Stegostoma tigrinum: one gene and its partner. The protein of the gene in region 2 binds, or shares a complex with, the protein of the main gene of each other region. Links are inferred from orthologs where the notes say so. Each region holds a gene or a part of one and is shown on either strand. Other genes may lie near its edges.

Region 1 (7,321 bases), on a different chromosome or scaffold from region 2:
GAACTTTTTAGGTACAGAAAATAATGTAGATATGCAAATATTGCTAGTCTATAAATGGATTGGAATGCAAAAATAAATAAATCTACTACAACCATTCAGCTCATTGGTAATGAGCAGTACAATTGTACATGAATGTTCTGTACAATTTGTTAGGAAAGGTATATGTGCCTTGGGAGAGGGTCTTATTGCGCAGCTGTAGAGTGCCTATCTCTGAGCCAGAAGGATTGTCCAAATCCTAACAGCCCTAGACATTTCATATATATGAACATGTTGATTTTAAAAATACTTTTAAACTGGCCTTGGAAGATGGGATAGCTTTAATATGGCTATGAACTGAACAAGGGAATGTGACCTGCTTGTCCTCATAGACCAGTCACAGAAGGTAAACACGCAGAGGCAACCAGCAGTAAAGAAGGCAGATCATATGTTAGCCTTTAGAACAAAAGGTTTTGAGCACAGCAGCAGAGAAGTCTTGCAGCAATTGTACAGGGCCTTGGTGAGACCCCATCAGGAATATTATATGCAGTTTTGGCCTCCCTGTCTGGGGAATATGCTCTTGCTTTAGATGGAGGGCAGTGAAAGCTCACCATATGAATGGCAGGACTAATATGAGGAGAGGTTGAATCAGTTGGATTGTATTTGCTGGAGTTCAGGGGTGATCTCATAGAATCTTAAGATTCTAACAGGACTAAACATAGTAGATGCAGAAAGAATGTTCCTGATGCTTTTGAAGTCCAGAAGCAAGGATCAGAGTCTAAGGATATGGGGTAAACCATTTAGTACTTGGACGAGGAGAAATTTCATCACCCAAAGAGTAAAAAGCCTGTGGAATCTGTTACTGCAGGAAGCTGTTGAGCCCAAAACATTGTACAAGTTTAAAAACGAATTGCATATTGCACTTGGGCATACAGGGAGTGGTGGGGAGAACATACAGTATTGAGTTGAATGATCAGTTATGATCAAAATGAATGATGGAGCAGACTCGAGGGGGCAAATGGGCTATTCTATCTCCTACTTTCTATGTTGAACAAAAAAACAGACCAGTGATCTCTCAGGATTAACCGAGAACAAACAGACCATATACCTGCAGTTTAGAAGAAAGAGTTGCTCCAGAACTAGGTGTCACTGTTTAGAAATTAACTTATTCCCATTTAAAACAGATGAGCCAATTTTTTTTTAAGGAAGTCACGTCTTTTTTAATTACCAGCTCAGGAAGGCAGTGAAAGCAGTGCTGTTAATATTTTTAAAGCAGAGATGATAGATTCTCGTGAAGCAAAAGAGTGAAAGGTTATCATAAATAGAAGGGCATGTGGATTTGAGATGACAATAAGATTAGACATAATCTTATGAAATGGCAGTCAAGATCTGAGTTGAATTGCCTACCCCTTTGTTTGCATGTACCTCGATGTTAAGTTTCTTTAAGAATGTTAAACATTCAATGTACATGTTTGGAGGATGTTTTTACCTCTGGTTGGGGAATTTAGAATGAGGGGCCTTCACGATCTTGTCTTACGGAGCTAACAGTTAGGATGGAGAAATTTCTTCACTCTTTTATGAAGAGTTGTGAATCTTCTGAAATTTTATAAACTCATCATTTCATAGATTGCTGAGGATAAGTTCATTCAACACAGCTGATCGAGATGCAAAGATCAGGTATGCTATTCATGGCTGACTGTGCAGAATAAAGGGGCTGAGTGGATTCCTGTTGCTCCTGTCTAAATTCTAAAATGGTGAAATAAAAACATAAAGAATGGAAAAATGGAATAACAGCTCCTCGTTTGGGGTGGGAGGAAAGGTACTTGAGATACCTGTATGAGACCAGTGGCATAATGGTGAATATTGGTCAGTAATTTATTTGAGGAAATAGAAATTTAAAAATTGAGAAAGGGAAAGGGTTGAGATGAACCTTGTGAACGGGAAGGAGGTAGAAATTGGAGACAAAGTTGTTAATATTGTCCATTTGAGCAAGAGGGGGAAAACAGTGCTGTGTAGCCCCATGGATCCCCAAGGCCCCAAATGTCACTTCAGGATGAAACCTCAAAACATTTTCAATGTGGTATTTTCTAGAGTTCTCAATTTCTTTGCTTCTACGGCCCCTCTGTAATGAAGCACAATCATTTTTCTCTATGTAAAAGCCACTCGGCCATTTCTCTACACAAAACATTTCAACTGAACATGTCTTTCTTTCATACTTTAATGTGAAACTTATGCTGGTGCTGAGTACTAATTCTGTTGAGATGTAGAAGTATCTATTGCAAGTGCATGTCAGGTTAACTTCAGCACAAGTGGACAAAAATGGAGACTCTTGCCAAAGTTGGTAGTTATGCTGAAGATGGTTGGCAGTCACTAAGGTTAATAAATTGTGACTGGAGTTTATAAGAACTTCTAACCTAATTCCTTATTTTCTAGTTAACATTAAAGTCTTTTTAAAATTTAAACTATTAGATTTATTTTTCTACTTGATGAAGGTAATGGTTAACTTTTCAACTCTAAGTTTTTTTTTTGTACCTAAGATGGCTTTACCTCTGGTGACATAATACACTTTTCACAACACACTTTAGTACAGTGAAAAGTCTGTGTGGACTCAGGTAGAGATGACGACCAGAGAAGTCTGAAAGGGAATCTGACTGAGTTGGACAAAATTGAGCATCATTAAATACACAAAACTTCTACATTCGAGAAGAATCAAGAACAACAGTGCATAGATTTCAAGAAAGGGGCAAGAGGTTTAGAGGGATTTAAGGAAGTTTTTTTCAAGCAGAAGCTGTCTGCAACTCAGTCTCTAAGCACATGGCAGCTGCACAAATTACCACAATATTTCAGAAGTATTTTGATGATCACTTTAAAACACCATAGCATACAGAAGTTGAAGGGTTTTGATAACTGGCACAGACATGATTGCTGCAAAATTGAGGCTCATGATGCTGAGACTAATGTTAGCAGCAGAATGAACTCTTTGCTTCTCTTGTCTGTTGTTATCAAGCAGAGTGCAGTTCATGGGCTGAGATTGAATGCTGTTTGGATAGACTGATATACAAGTATATGCGCACACTCTAATTCAAGTGGTGATTTCTGACTCTGTCTTGTGCTAGTTAAGGAAGAATAAAGGTATGGGATGGTGCCTCTGATATAATAATGACATAATCAACCTATTCAGAAATGTTATTACACACTTCCAGAACAGGTGAGACTTGAACCTAGGTTTCCTGGCTCAGTGATAGGGATTCAGCACTACAAGCACCCTTCCTCATATCCCAAATTAGCAATAAATTGATTTAAATTATCTGTAGAGGTAGATCTGGAACCAAATGGGGAGTCCTTAGAAAACTTCTGTCAAGTCTGGACTGCAGAAATAATTTCCCTTCCCCATTCCCTTCTGATCTCTCTGAACTTGGGTATTTAATGAGCCAACCCAAGTTTAAGAAATACCAGTTCAAATATTGAGACACTTTACAACCTTCTTCCCTCTTGAGTTCAGCAGATTGATCATAATGTGTGGCACAATGGCTCAGTGGTCAGCTATGCTGTCTCACAGCACCAGGGACCTGAATTTGATTCCACCTTCGGGTGACTGTGTGGTTTTTCACATTGTCTCTTGTCTGCATGCTTTTCCTCCAGGAGCTCCGGTTTCCTCCCACAGTCCAACGCTGTGCAGATTAGGTGGACTGACCATGCTAAACTGCCCATAGTCTCCACAAATGTGCAGCCTGGGTGAATTAGCTATGGGAAATGTAGGGTAGCGAGGTGAGTCTGGGTGGATGCTCGTCGTAGGGTCGTTGTGGACTCGATGGGCCGTTTGCCCTGCTTCCACTGTTGGAAATTCTACGATTCTATAAATACTGCATGTATTTTATCCAGGAGCATTCGGTGATAATCATGCTAATCCCATTTACGTCTCCGTTAGACTGATCTTGTTTTTATGTCTGATTTCATTTACTATGCACCATCATTCGTCTTCTAATTTCTCCTGCTTCCAGCTGATCACTGACTTTTAATATTCCCCCCCCTTTTCGTAAATGTGTATAGAAACGTGTATACTAACACTTTACCGTTCCGACAATAGGGTCAAAATCCTGCCCTTCCGAATATTTCTATATTTTTAGCGGGTAGCTATATTTCAGATTTTCCACCATTAACAGGCTCTTCTTATAGACTGGGCATGCGCCGTCTTCCATCCTCCGCCATCCCCCCCTTATAATTGACATGCGCGCAGTAGTGCATTGTGGGGCGGGTGTTTAATTGGCTTGCGCGGAGTGGAGCGCGTTTCTTCACTTGGCGATCGGAGCGAGAAGATGGCGGGTGGAGATGGTAAAGGGCATTGTTTGTCCGGGGTGGGGGTAAGGAGTCAGAATTAATACGGCGGCTGCAGAGAACGATCTGTAATTTGCAGACTTGTTTGAGGGGAGAGAGAGAGAGAGAGTGAAGCCGGAGTCACGGCGGCTTCAGGGCATTGCTTACTGCCGGGAGGGAGGTAGAGGCCGCGGCCTGTAGAGGGGAGACGGTTTTCGCGCCCCTTGTAACTCGCAGCAACTCCCTCCCCCACTTTTGGTGTTTGCTTTGAATGTCGGTGGTTTCCTGGTGGCTGGGGGATATCGCCAGCATTGCCCTGGACTCTGGATGGATGGGAACAGGCACCTGGCGCTAATCGGCGCCGAACACGTGGTCCCCACGTTTGGCGCCGGGCCTGGCAGTTCGGTTTGCTGTTTGTCGTCGCCACGAGTTTCCAGCCACAGATTCCATTTCCATTTCACAACTACAAGTACGCGGTTGGCAAGCTGCCTTCTGAGATTAAATGCCGTAGCAGTTAGACAGGCGATTTCAATCATAATGTGCATTATTATCTTACACACGAATTTCATGAGCATCATTTTCTGCCCCGTGATTGAATTCATATTAGCCTTCTATAACGAGTCCAGAATTCACTTAATGTAAACTCTAGCTGGTTAATTAATGTAGACAAACAAGAGGCGGGAAGAACAGAGCAAGCCAGACAGCATCTGGAGGAAAAGAGAGGTCAAGTTTCGGGTATTACCCTCTTGATTGCCTACCTTGGATTACAGCATTTGCAGTTTTTTTTGTCTCTAACTAAGTTTATACCACTGCAAAGTCCCTTCAAAGGATACCCATTTTGAAGATGTTTTCTGCCTCCCTTGGACATGAGTCGTGGAAGAAGGGTATTATCCAGAATGTTGACTTTTCCTTTCCTTCAGATGCTGCCTGGCTTGTTGTGTTCTTCTAGCCTTCTGTTCACCTACCTTGGATTCCTTGGCCAGCAGCATTGATTTTGCTTGTGTACTGAACCTACTGCATTATGTCTGAGGAAACAACCATATGGCAACAGATAGTAACTTGCTTTTGATTGTCTGAAAGTGTTTAAAAAAACTGTTAATAAGTGCATGCGTTTTGGTACGGTGTTTTTACTGTTTGAAATATTCCAATGTGGGAGTACATCCAATGACTTGAATCTTCAGTTTATTGAGGGATTCTAACCATCCCTGTTTGTTGTTTGCAGCATCTATTAAAAAACAGAAGAAGCAAAGGAAGAAAAATGGAGAAGGAATTGGGGTAATAATTTTATTTTCATATCTAGCATTGAGTGCAAAAATGAATTCCTACTACTGTCTGAAATTGTCCAAGAAGTGAAGCAAGGAGCAAAATGTGGGAGCAGCCTTGGAGGTGACATTAATGCAATCTCTGTTGGAAGGGAAATCCATGGGTCTGAAAGCCGATTAAATTCCCTGGATGTGATGGGTAGCAATCTCAGATGTTAAAGGAAGGAGCTACAGAAACGTTGGAGGCACTGGCAGTAAAATTCCAACAGTGCTTAGATTCTGGAAGTGTCCTGGGTGAGATTGGCAGTTTTCCAACATTTCCAGCATAAAAGGAATGGAGACAAAGCCAGATAACTGTAGGTAGTTGGATTAACATATGTAATTGGGAAAAGTTTATTTTAACGTGCGTAGTAGAAACATATTTAGAAATACATACTAAATTCAAATAGAGGCATGCCTGACATTTACTTGAATTCTTTCATGATGCTTAGTGCCCATGGTAGTGAGTAGTACATTAGCATGAATCAAAGATTGCCTAACAAATTGAAGATAGTGTTGAGATAAGGATTTTAAGGATGTCAAACTATAACTATCACAGGGATCAGTGCTGGGACCACCGTTTACAATCTGTTAATGATTTTGATGACACACAAAGGGAGGTGATGGCCTAGTGGCATTATTACTGGACAGGCAATCCAGAGACCCAGATAAAATTCTGGGAGCCGGGTTTAAATCCCACCATGGCAGATGATGGAATTTGAATTCAGTGAAATATCTGGAATTAAGAATCTAATGATGACCACGAATCCATTATCAATAATGTCCTTTAGGGAAGGAAATTGCCATCCTTACCTTGTCTGGTCTACCTGTGACTCCAGAGCAACAGCCATGTGGTTGAGTCTGAACTGCCCTCTGGGCAGTTAGGGATGGCAATTAATGGCAGTCTAACCAACGACACCCTCATCCCATTAATGATGAAAGAAAAAAGGTCTGTAGAGATAAGTTGACATATTAAGTGAGTGCAGAAACTTACCGATATTATACAATGAGGTTGTGCATTTTTGGAAAGAAACATATTGAATATTTTGAAAAGGAGAAATACAGGGAGGGCAGCACTGGGATTTAGGGCCACTCCTGCATTAATCACAAAAACACTTGAATACAAATTCAGCCAGTAATGGGGAAGGAAAATGAAATTGTGGTCTGTCCATCAAAGAGAATGGAGTATAAATGTAGGGAAGTTTGGCGAAACAATGCCAGCGACTGGTTAGACTACACCTAGAATATTGGGCTCAAGTTTGGATGCTGTAATCGGAGGAAAGATGCGTTGGCATTGAAGGCAGTCCAGAAAAAGGTCACTAGATTGGCATTTTGAGTATGGAGACATTTCATAAAGGGGAGAGGTTCAGTCAGCTTGGGGCCTGCACGCACTGGAGTTAGAAGAATAAGAGGTGACTCCTTTGCCAGTAAATGTTTCTTGACAGTTGCTCTCGAGAGGTTGTTTTGTGAGGGTAGTGAATCTGGAATTCTTCACCACAGTGGACTGGGCCATTAAAAATAGTCAAGACAAGGAAAGATACTTTTAGTGAGGGAATCAAGGATTTGAGTAAAGGCAGGACAGCCATAGTCATTCAGCATGGAAACCAATCCTTTGGCGCAACCAGTCTATGCCGAACATAATCCGAAACTAAATAGTCCCACCTGCCTACTCCTGGCCCATATCTCTCCAAACCGTTGCAAACACTTATTGAAATATCTTTTGAACATAG
Region 2 (7,278 bases):
GGAAGGACAAGGGAAGCAGATACATGGGAACATAACCACCTGCAGGTTCCCCTCCAAGCCACTCACTATCCTGACTTGGAAATATATTGCTGATCCTTCATGGATAATGGGTCAAAATCTTGGAACTCCCTAGTGACATTGTGGGTCTACCTACAGAACATGGACTCCAGCAGTTGAAAAAGGCAGCTCACCACCACCTTCTCAAGGGCAAGTGGGGATGGGCAATAAATGCTAGCCCCTGGGAAGTGTATTTTTATACATCTTTTGTGGAAAGGTTTTGCAATATTCAGTCCACATCTGAGCACTGTGTCAGCACAACTAATAATAAAGTATTTCTGATTCTTGACCAATAGAAAGACTGCTTGTGGCTTTTCTGCAACAACCCAACTTAGATCCTGATTTAAAAATTCTGCACTCGGGTCATTTTGTTTAGCCAGTCTCCCAGTTTTGGCTTCTGTTTGCTACTAGTGCTAGTTTCGCTGGTGTCTAAATGAACACTGTATCCCCATCACAGCCTCAGTGTATTCTTAAAACTACAGTATATTATTTTGAATAGTTGAAAGATTGAACACCCCAATAATATACACAAATTAAAGCTCTTCATCTTTAAACTAGTGTGCAATACAAATTAATGACATTCCTTATTAATGAGGTGAAATCTGAAACTTTCTTTCACTGCATATTTTGAAAATTTTTTTAACTTGAAAACCAATAAATCCTTGCAGACCTCTTAATATAATATATTAATATTAATGAAAGAAGGCCCTTTGTGACTATGTCTGAATTAATGTTGAGATCAACATGCTGTGGCATTTTTTTTCATTTGTATAGAATATGCATTTGAGAGGAATATTTTAAATATCAACTTTCGGAACCAGATTTATCTGCTTATCTAGGTATTCCATTTTGACAATGTGCATGCTAAAAAAATTTGGAAACATTAAAAAATAAACAATTTGGGACAGCAGGGAAGGATGTACACTGAGTTGGCATGTTAATAATTATGTTATCAAAATTACAGTTCTAGGCCAGGACATTGAACTGATACTAGGAAATTTACTGTTACACTTAATGGATCAGATTAAACAGAATCTGATGTTGCCATGGCCACCTGCAACTAAATTTGCTCATAACTCCTAGGTGGTAATCTATCACCAAAATTTTATTTCCAGAGGGAAAAATTTAAAAAGCAAGTAGTTCGTACAGATCCATTTCTGAATTGCATTCATAGCATAATGAACAGTTCTAGTCTTTTTGCTACAAAATAAGTATGACGTTACTGAGAAGCACATAAATGACTTACAAAAAGGATAACAGAATTTAGAGAATATATCAGGTTGAACATGATGGAGAAAAGAGGAGGCTGAGGAGAGATGGGCATTTAAAATTATAATAGGGATTCATGAGAGTAGTCTGAGAGATTCTATCTGCGAGGCAGACAAAAGTAGTGGCCATAAATGTTACTAATAAATCCATTAGGAAAGTCAAGAAAACTTTCTTCACCTGCAAAGAAAAATAATTTATTTTATAGAGTGTTCTGCCCAGCCACTGAGCACCTCAAAGCACTTTTATCACAAATTACATATTTTTGAAGTTTAGTCATCAATATGTGATATGCAGCAGCCAATTTGCACTCCCAGAAACTGGAAATGACCAGGTGATCTGTTTTTGCGATGTTGATTGAAGGATACATTTTGATTGGAACACTGAGCTAACTTTTTTCTTCAAAATTATGGCAAGCAATCATTTACTTCCACTAGAGCAGGCAGAGAGCCTCGGTTTAACATTTCATAAAAGGATGCAATCTTGCGTATGCAGCACTGCCCCAGTACTGCACTGGTGCGGCAGTCTGATTTTAATTGTGCTGAAAGGCTGGTGTGTAACCTAAATTTGGAACCATTGATTCAGATCAAGAGTGATACAAATGAGCTCCAACTCCCAGTAGTGAGTCATTAATGAAACCAAAGGGAAATTCAGGAGTGTGTTAATATCATGATCATGTTCTGACAGCATTAGACAGATGGGGAGCAGACAGCTTACTGGCACAACCTGTTGAACATTTATTAACTATTTATACTAATGTGCGGAGACATAACAGGTAAATAAATATATGAGAGTGATTAAGGGTAACTCGGTTAGTTTGATCCAAAATTGGCCTATTAGCAGGAGACAGGGTGGGGGTGGTAGAGGTAGGGACAAACCAGTGGCATACCACAGTGATCAGTGCTGGGTCCCTTATTATTTGTGATATATGAAGATGAAAATGTGGGGAAGGAGGGAGAGGATGATAAATGTGCAGATGCCACAAAGATTATTCAGTTAATTGTCAGCAAGGAAGATGGTCTTAGGTTCTGGGAGGATATAGACAGATCGGTAGAACAGTGGCAGATGGAATTTGACCCTGATAAATGTGAGGCGATGCACTTTGGAAGAAGGAATAAGATGAGGGAGTACTCCGAGACTGGCTAGATGCTAGGAAGCTCAGAGGAATCTTGAGCGTGTTTGTCTACAGATCCCTGAAAGTGGCAGGACGTATTAATGGGATTGTTAAGAAGGGATGTGGGACACTTACTGTATCAGTTGAGGCATGGAATATACGAACACAGAGTTTTGAGTTGGAGCTGTACAGAACTTTGATTTGGCCACTGCTGGAGTACTGTGTCAGCACACTATTGGATGGATATGTTTGCACTGGAGGGGTGCAGAGGAGATTCACCGGAACAGAGTCATAGAGGCTTACAGCATGGAAACAGACCATGTCCAACCAGTCCACACCCACCATGTTCCCAAAATAAACTCGTCCCACCTGCCTGGGCTAGGCCCATATCCCTTCAAACATTTCTCATTCATGTTCCTATCTAAATGTCTTTTAATCATTGTAACTGTACTCTCATCCACCACTTCCTCTGGAAGCTCATTCCACACGTGAACCACTCTGTGCAAAAAAGTCACCCCTCATGTCTTATTTAAATCTTTCTCCTCTCACTTTAAAAATATGTGCCCAAGTCTTGAAATCCCGCACCCTAGGGAAACACACCTGCCTTTCACCTTATCTATACCCCTCATGATTTTATAAACTTCTTTAGGGTTACCCCGTGATTTCCTATGCTCCGGTGAAAAATGTCCCAGTCTATCCAGCCTCTCCTTATAATTCAACCCCTCCATTCCCGGAAACATCCTGGTAAACCTTTTCTGTGCCCTCTGCAGCTTAGTAATATCCTTCTTATAACAGGGGGTCCAGAACTGGACACAATATTCCAGAAAACACCCCACCAATGTCCGACACAACCTCAAAATCATATCCCAGCTTCTGTACTCAAAAGTCTGAGCAATGAAGGCAAACATACTCAATGCCCTCTTAAGTTACATGTGATGCAAACTTCAAAGAATTATATTCCTGAACTCCTGGGTGTCTCAGTTGGACAGCACTACACTTTTAATTGTATAACTCCTGGCCTTGTTTGTTTGGTTGCCCGGGATGGAGTGCTTTAGCTGTGAGGAAAGGCTGGATAGGTTCATGGTGTTTACTTTCAAGAAGAAAAAAATTGAGGGAGGGGACAAGATAGAAGTGCATGAGGGTAAAAGGGCATGAACAGGCACCGAAACGTCAGCTTTTGTGCTCCTAAGATGCTGCTTGGCCTGCTGTGTTCATCCGGCTCCACACTTTGTTATCTCGAATAGAAAGCAGTTGTTCACTTTAGGTGAAGTGTCAGTAACAAGGTGGGGTGGGAGCGTGTGTAATTTTGAGTGAAGGCTGGAGGTTTTGAGGGGACTTTCAGGAGGAGAGACTAATCACCCAGAGCGTGATGGTAATGTGGGAGGTTAATTGAAGGGTGTAATCTCACGACCTTTTGGATGAGCATTTGAAACGTCATAACATCGAAGGCAATGGGACGAGTGTAGATTTCAGGTAGCGTTTGGCGGCAGAGACTGGATGGGCCAAGGGGGTCTCCCCTGCACTGTGCTAGTTTCTGGATCCAATGAGAGGATGGGTGGTGGGAGGAGATTGGATGCTGTGGGTCGGGCGGGAGGAAGTGCGAGCAGATTGTGATCGATGAGAAGGGGGTTGGTTGCTGAAGTCTCAGTGAGAAAGGGGTGGACAATGGAGGAGGCCAGGCTGTTCGGGCTGTTGGCCTCCGTCTATCCCTCCGTGCGCCGCCTGCAGCAGTTCGTTGCGGAGATCAGCGAAGCGGCAGGAGTCGCGCCGCCGGCTTTGCTGGAAAGCAGCGACAGCGGGCACTACCGGCGCTTCATCTCCCAGCTCATCGTGTGTGTTCCCGGGGAGGCAAAGGCTGTGTGCCGGCCGCTCACCTTTCAGCAGGTACGGGGCTAGGCAGACAGCTCCCGGCAGCACTAAAGCGCCCGGCACCTTCCGGAGCCGAAGTGCCGTTGCTTTATGTACAGGGGCACATTTGGGGAATAACAAGCCGGAGAGGCTCGGAACGGCGCAAAACCCCCCCGATCCCAGGCCATGTTTCTGCGCTAGGGCTTCCTGAAATTCAGCGCCGGATTTACGCAGCGCGCAATCTTAAGGGTAAAAAGGCATTTCGTATGCACCACGTTCACGTTTTTCTAACACCCTCCCCAAAAGTAAAAGTTGAGTCAAAGGGGGATTTGGCGCGATTAACGTTGACACTATTCCCCCCCATACCCCGTGTCTCTAGGCAGCATGCTGTGAAAACTCACTCAGTTTCCAGCTGTACTCCTCACCACCTCCCCCACTTCTCCACTCCCCCCCCCCCCCCCCCGCCAGGTTAGAGGTGGTCTCGGCTGTTCGGTCCAACCCAGGCTGAGCAGAAATCCCCACCACTTTAAACATTAAGTCAGCAAAAACCTTCCTTTAAAGTCTCCGTTGCAATCTCCATTCTGTATTCACCAACTACACTAAAAAAAAGCAAGGAAGTGCTGGAGAAACTCTGTCGGCCTGTCTTTCTCTCAGTCGCTGAAGTAGGAACGAAGTCACCAAAGCAAAATACTGTAGGTGCTGGAAATGTGAAACAGAAATTGCTGGAGAAACCCAGCCAGTCTGGCACCAGCTGTGGAGAGAGGGAGAGGAAGAACAGTTATTGTTGCAAGTCCAGTTTGACTCTCTGGAATTCAGCCCCACAGTAGCGTTTGACAAGGGACCACCTGCACTCGAAACATTAACCCTGTTTCTCTCTTTGTAGATGCTACCAGATCTGCTGAGTTTCCTTTCTGTTTCTGTAGCTTTACTCCTATCACAGCGACTGTGTGAGGCTATTGCAACCTTGGGTCTATATTTCACCCAAGATGAGCTTTCAGTATTTTTTCATATTCATTCGTGGGATATGGGTGTCGCTGGCTAGGCAGCATTTATTGCCCACGTTGCTGGGGGTCTGAAGTCACATATAGGCTAAACCAGGTAAGGATGGCCTTTTCCTTCCTTAAAGGATATTAGTGAACCAGAAGGGGTTTTTCCCAACAATCGACAATGGATTCATGATATCATTAGATTCTTAATTCCAGATATTCATTGAATTCAAATTCCAACATGTGCCATGGCAGGATTTGAACCCAGGTCCCCCAAATCATTATCTGGGTCTTGGGATTAATAGTCCAGTGATAGTACCACTATGCCTTGCCTCCTTCCCCCCCCCCATCCAGACGTCAGTAAAGCTGGTATTTCCACTTTGCCCATCCCTGCATCTGTCTCAGCTCCTCTTGCTGCCTCTTATCTATGCCATTGTTACACAACCTCCTGACGATTCCACTCCTGCTTCATCTCCCACATCACCTTCAGTGAACTTCAGGTGGTCCAAACCTCCACTGTATCTACTAACATATACCAAGTACCAGTCACACACTACACCTAAGCCATGTGACCTAAATTTGTTTGACATTTCAGGTCAGGACCCTTCTTCAGACCCGAAACATCAAACTTTCCTGCTCCTCTGATGCTGTTTTGTCTGCTGTGTTCATCCAGCTTCACACCATGTTATCTCAGATTCTCTCTCATTGGCAGTTCCTACTATCTCTGACCTAAATTTGTTTTTGATTAAACAATGCCAGCCTTCTGCAGGATGATTGACCAGGTGATGGTGGGGAGGACATGGCCTAGTGGTATTGTTACTGGACTGCTAGTCCAGAGACTCGGCTAATGTTCTGGAGACCTGGGTTTGAATCCTGCCATGACAGATGGTGGAACTTGAATTTGATTTCTAAAAAAAATAGGAATTAAGAGTCTGATGATGACCACGAAGCCATTGTCAATTGTAGGGAAAAACCCATCTGGTTCACTAACAACTTTTAGGGAAGGAAACTTGTCCTTACCTACATGTAACTCTTAGTTGCCCTCTGGACAATTGAGAATGGACAAATGCTGGTCTAGCCAGCAACACCCTCATCCTGTGGATGCATTTAAAGAAGGTGTGTCCTGCTTTTAACAGGTGGTGAGGTTACGCCAGAATTAGCTGGCAATCTCATTTCAGTTCACCACAATGAGAATTACTGCAACTCGGAGATGGCATTCAATATAGATTCAAGATGCCACAGATACATATGAACAAGGAACAGGAGGAATTGAGTTTAAGAGCCTTGATGTTATGCTGCAGCTCTATAAAGCTCTGGTTAGACTACACTTGGAATATTGTGTTCGGTTCTGGTCAGCTCATTATAGGAAAGATGTGGAAGCTTTAGAGAGGGTGCAGAGGAAATTTACCTGGAGGCTGCCTGGACTGGAGGGCAGGTCTTATGAGGAAAGGTTGAGAGAGCTAGGGCTTTTTCCATTGGAGTGAAGAAGGATGAGAGGTGACAGAGGTTTACAAGATGATGAGAGGCATAGATAGAGTGGATAGTCAGAGACTTTTTCCCAGGGCAGAAATGCCTATTACAAGTGGGCATAATTTTAAGTGATTGAAGGAAGGTATAGGGGAGATATCAGGGGCAGGTTCTTCACACAGAGTGGTGGGCGTGGGGAATGTGCTGCTGGTAATGGTAGTGGAGTCAAATACTTTAGAGACTTTTAAGTGACTCTTGGATAGGCACATGGAGGATAGTAAAATGTAGGGTATGCAGGATTGAATGATCTTAGAAGGATAATAGGTCAGCACAAAATCGTGGGCCGAAGGGCCTGTACTGTGCTGTACTGTTCTATTTTCTATGTTAACAAGGCCCCTTGAGCTTGCTCTGTCATTCAGCAAGGTGATGGCCCGATCTGATTTTAACCTCCAGTCCCGTATACCCTAATATTTTTTCATCCCCTTGGTAATCAACAGTCTACCTACATCTGCCTTAAAATTAATTAAAGATTTTCCATCA

Evidence for each region.
Region 1: tert (region 2) and dkc1 share a complex: the UniProt entries of both Homo sapiens proteins name them as parts of the telomerase holoenzyme complex. The link is inferred for Stegostoma tigrinum from reciprocal best matches to the Homo sapiens genes TERT and DKC1.

Annotation. Positions count from the first base shown.
Region 1 is NC_081368.1:49,361,725-49,369,045, forward strand, and holds the start of dkc1 (H/ACA ribonucleoprotein complex subunit DKC1), read left to right. Parts: upstream 1-4,203; 5' UTR 4,204-4,292; coding exon 4,293-4,308; intron 4,309-5,512; coding exon 5,513-5,565; intron 5,566-7,321.
Region 2 is NC_081355.1:13,889,795-13,897,072, reverse strand, and holds the start of tert (telomerase reverse transcriptase), read left to right. Parts: upstream 1-4,091; 5' UTR 4,092-4,102; coding exon 4,103-4,321; intron 4,322-7,278. UniProt on the Homo sapiens protein: Telomerase is a ribonucleoprotein enzyme essential for the replication of chromosome termini in most eukaryotes. Active in progenitor and cancer cells. Inactive, or very low activity, in normal somatic cells.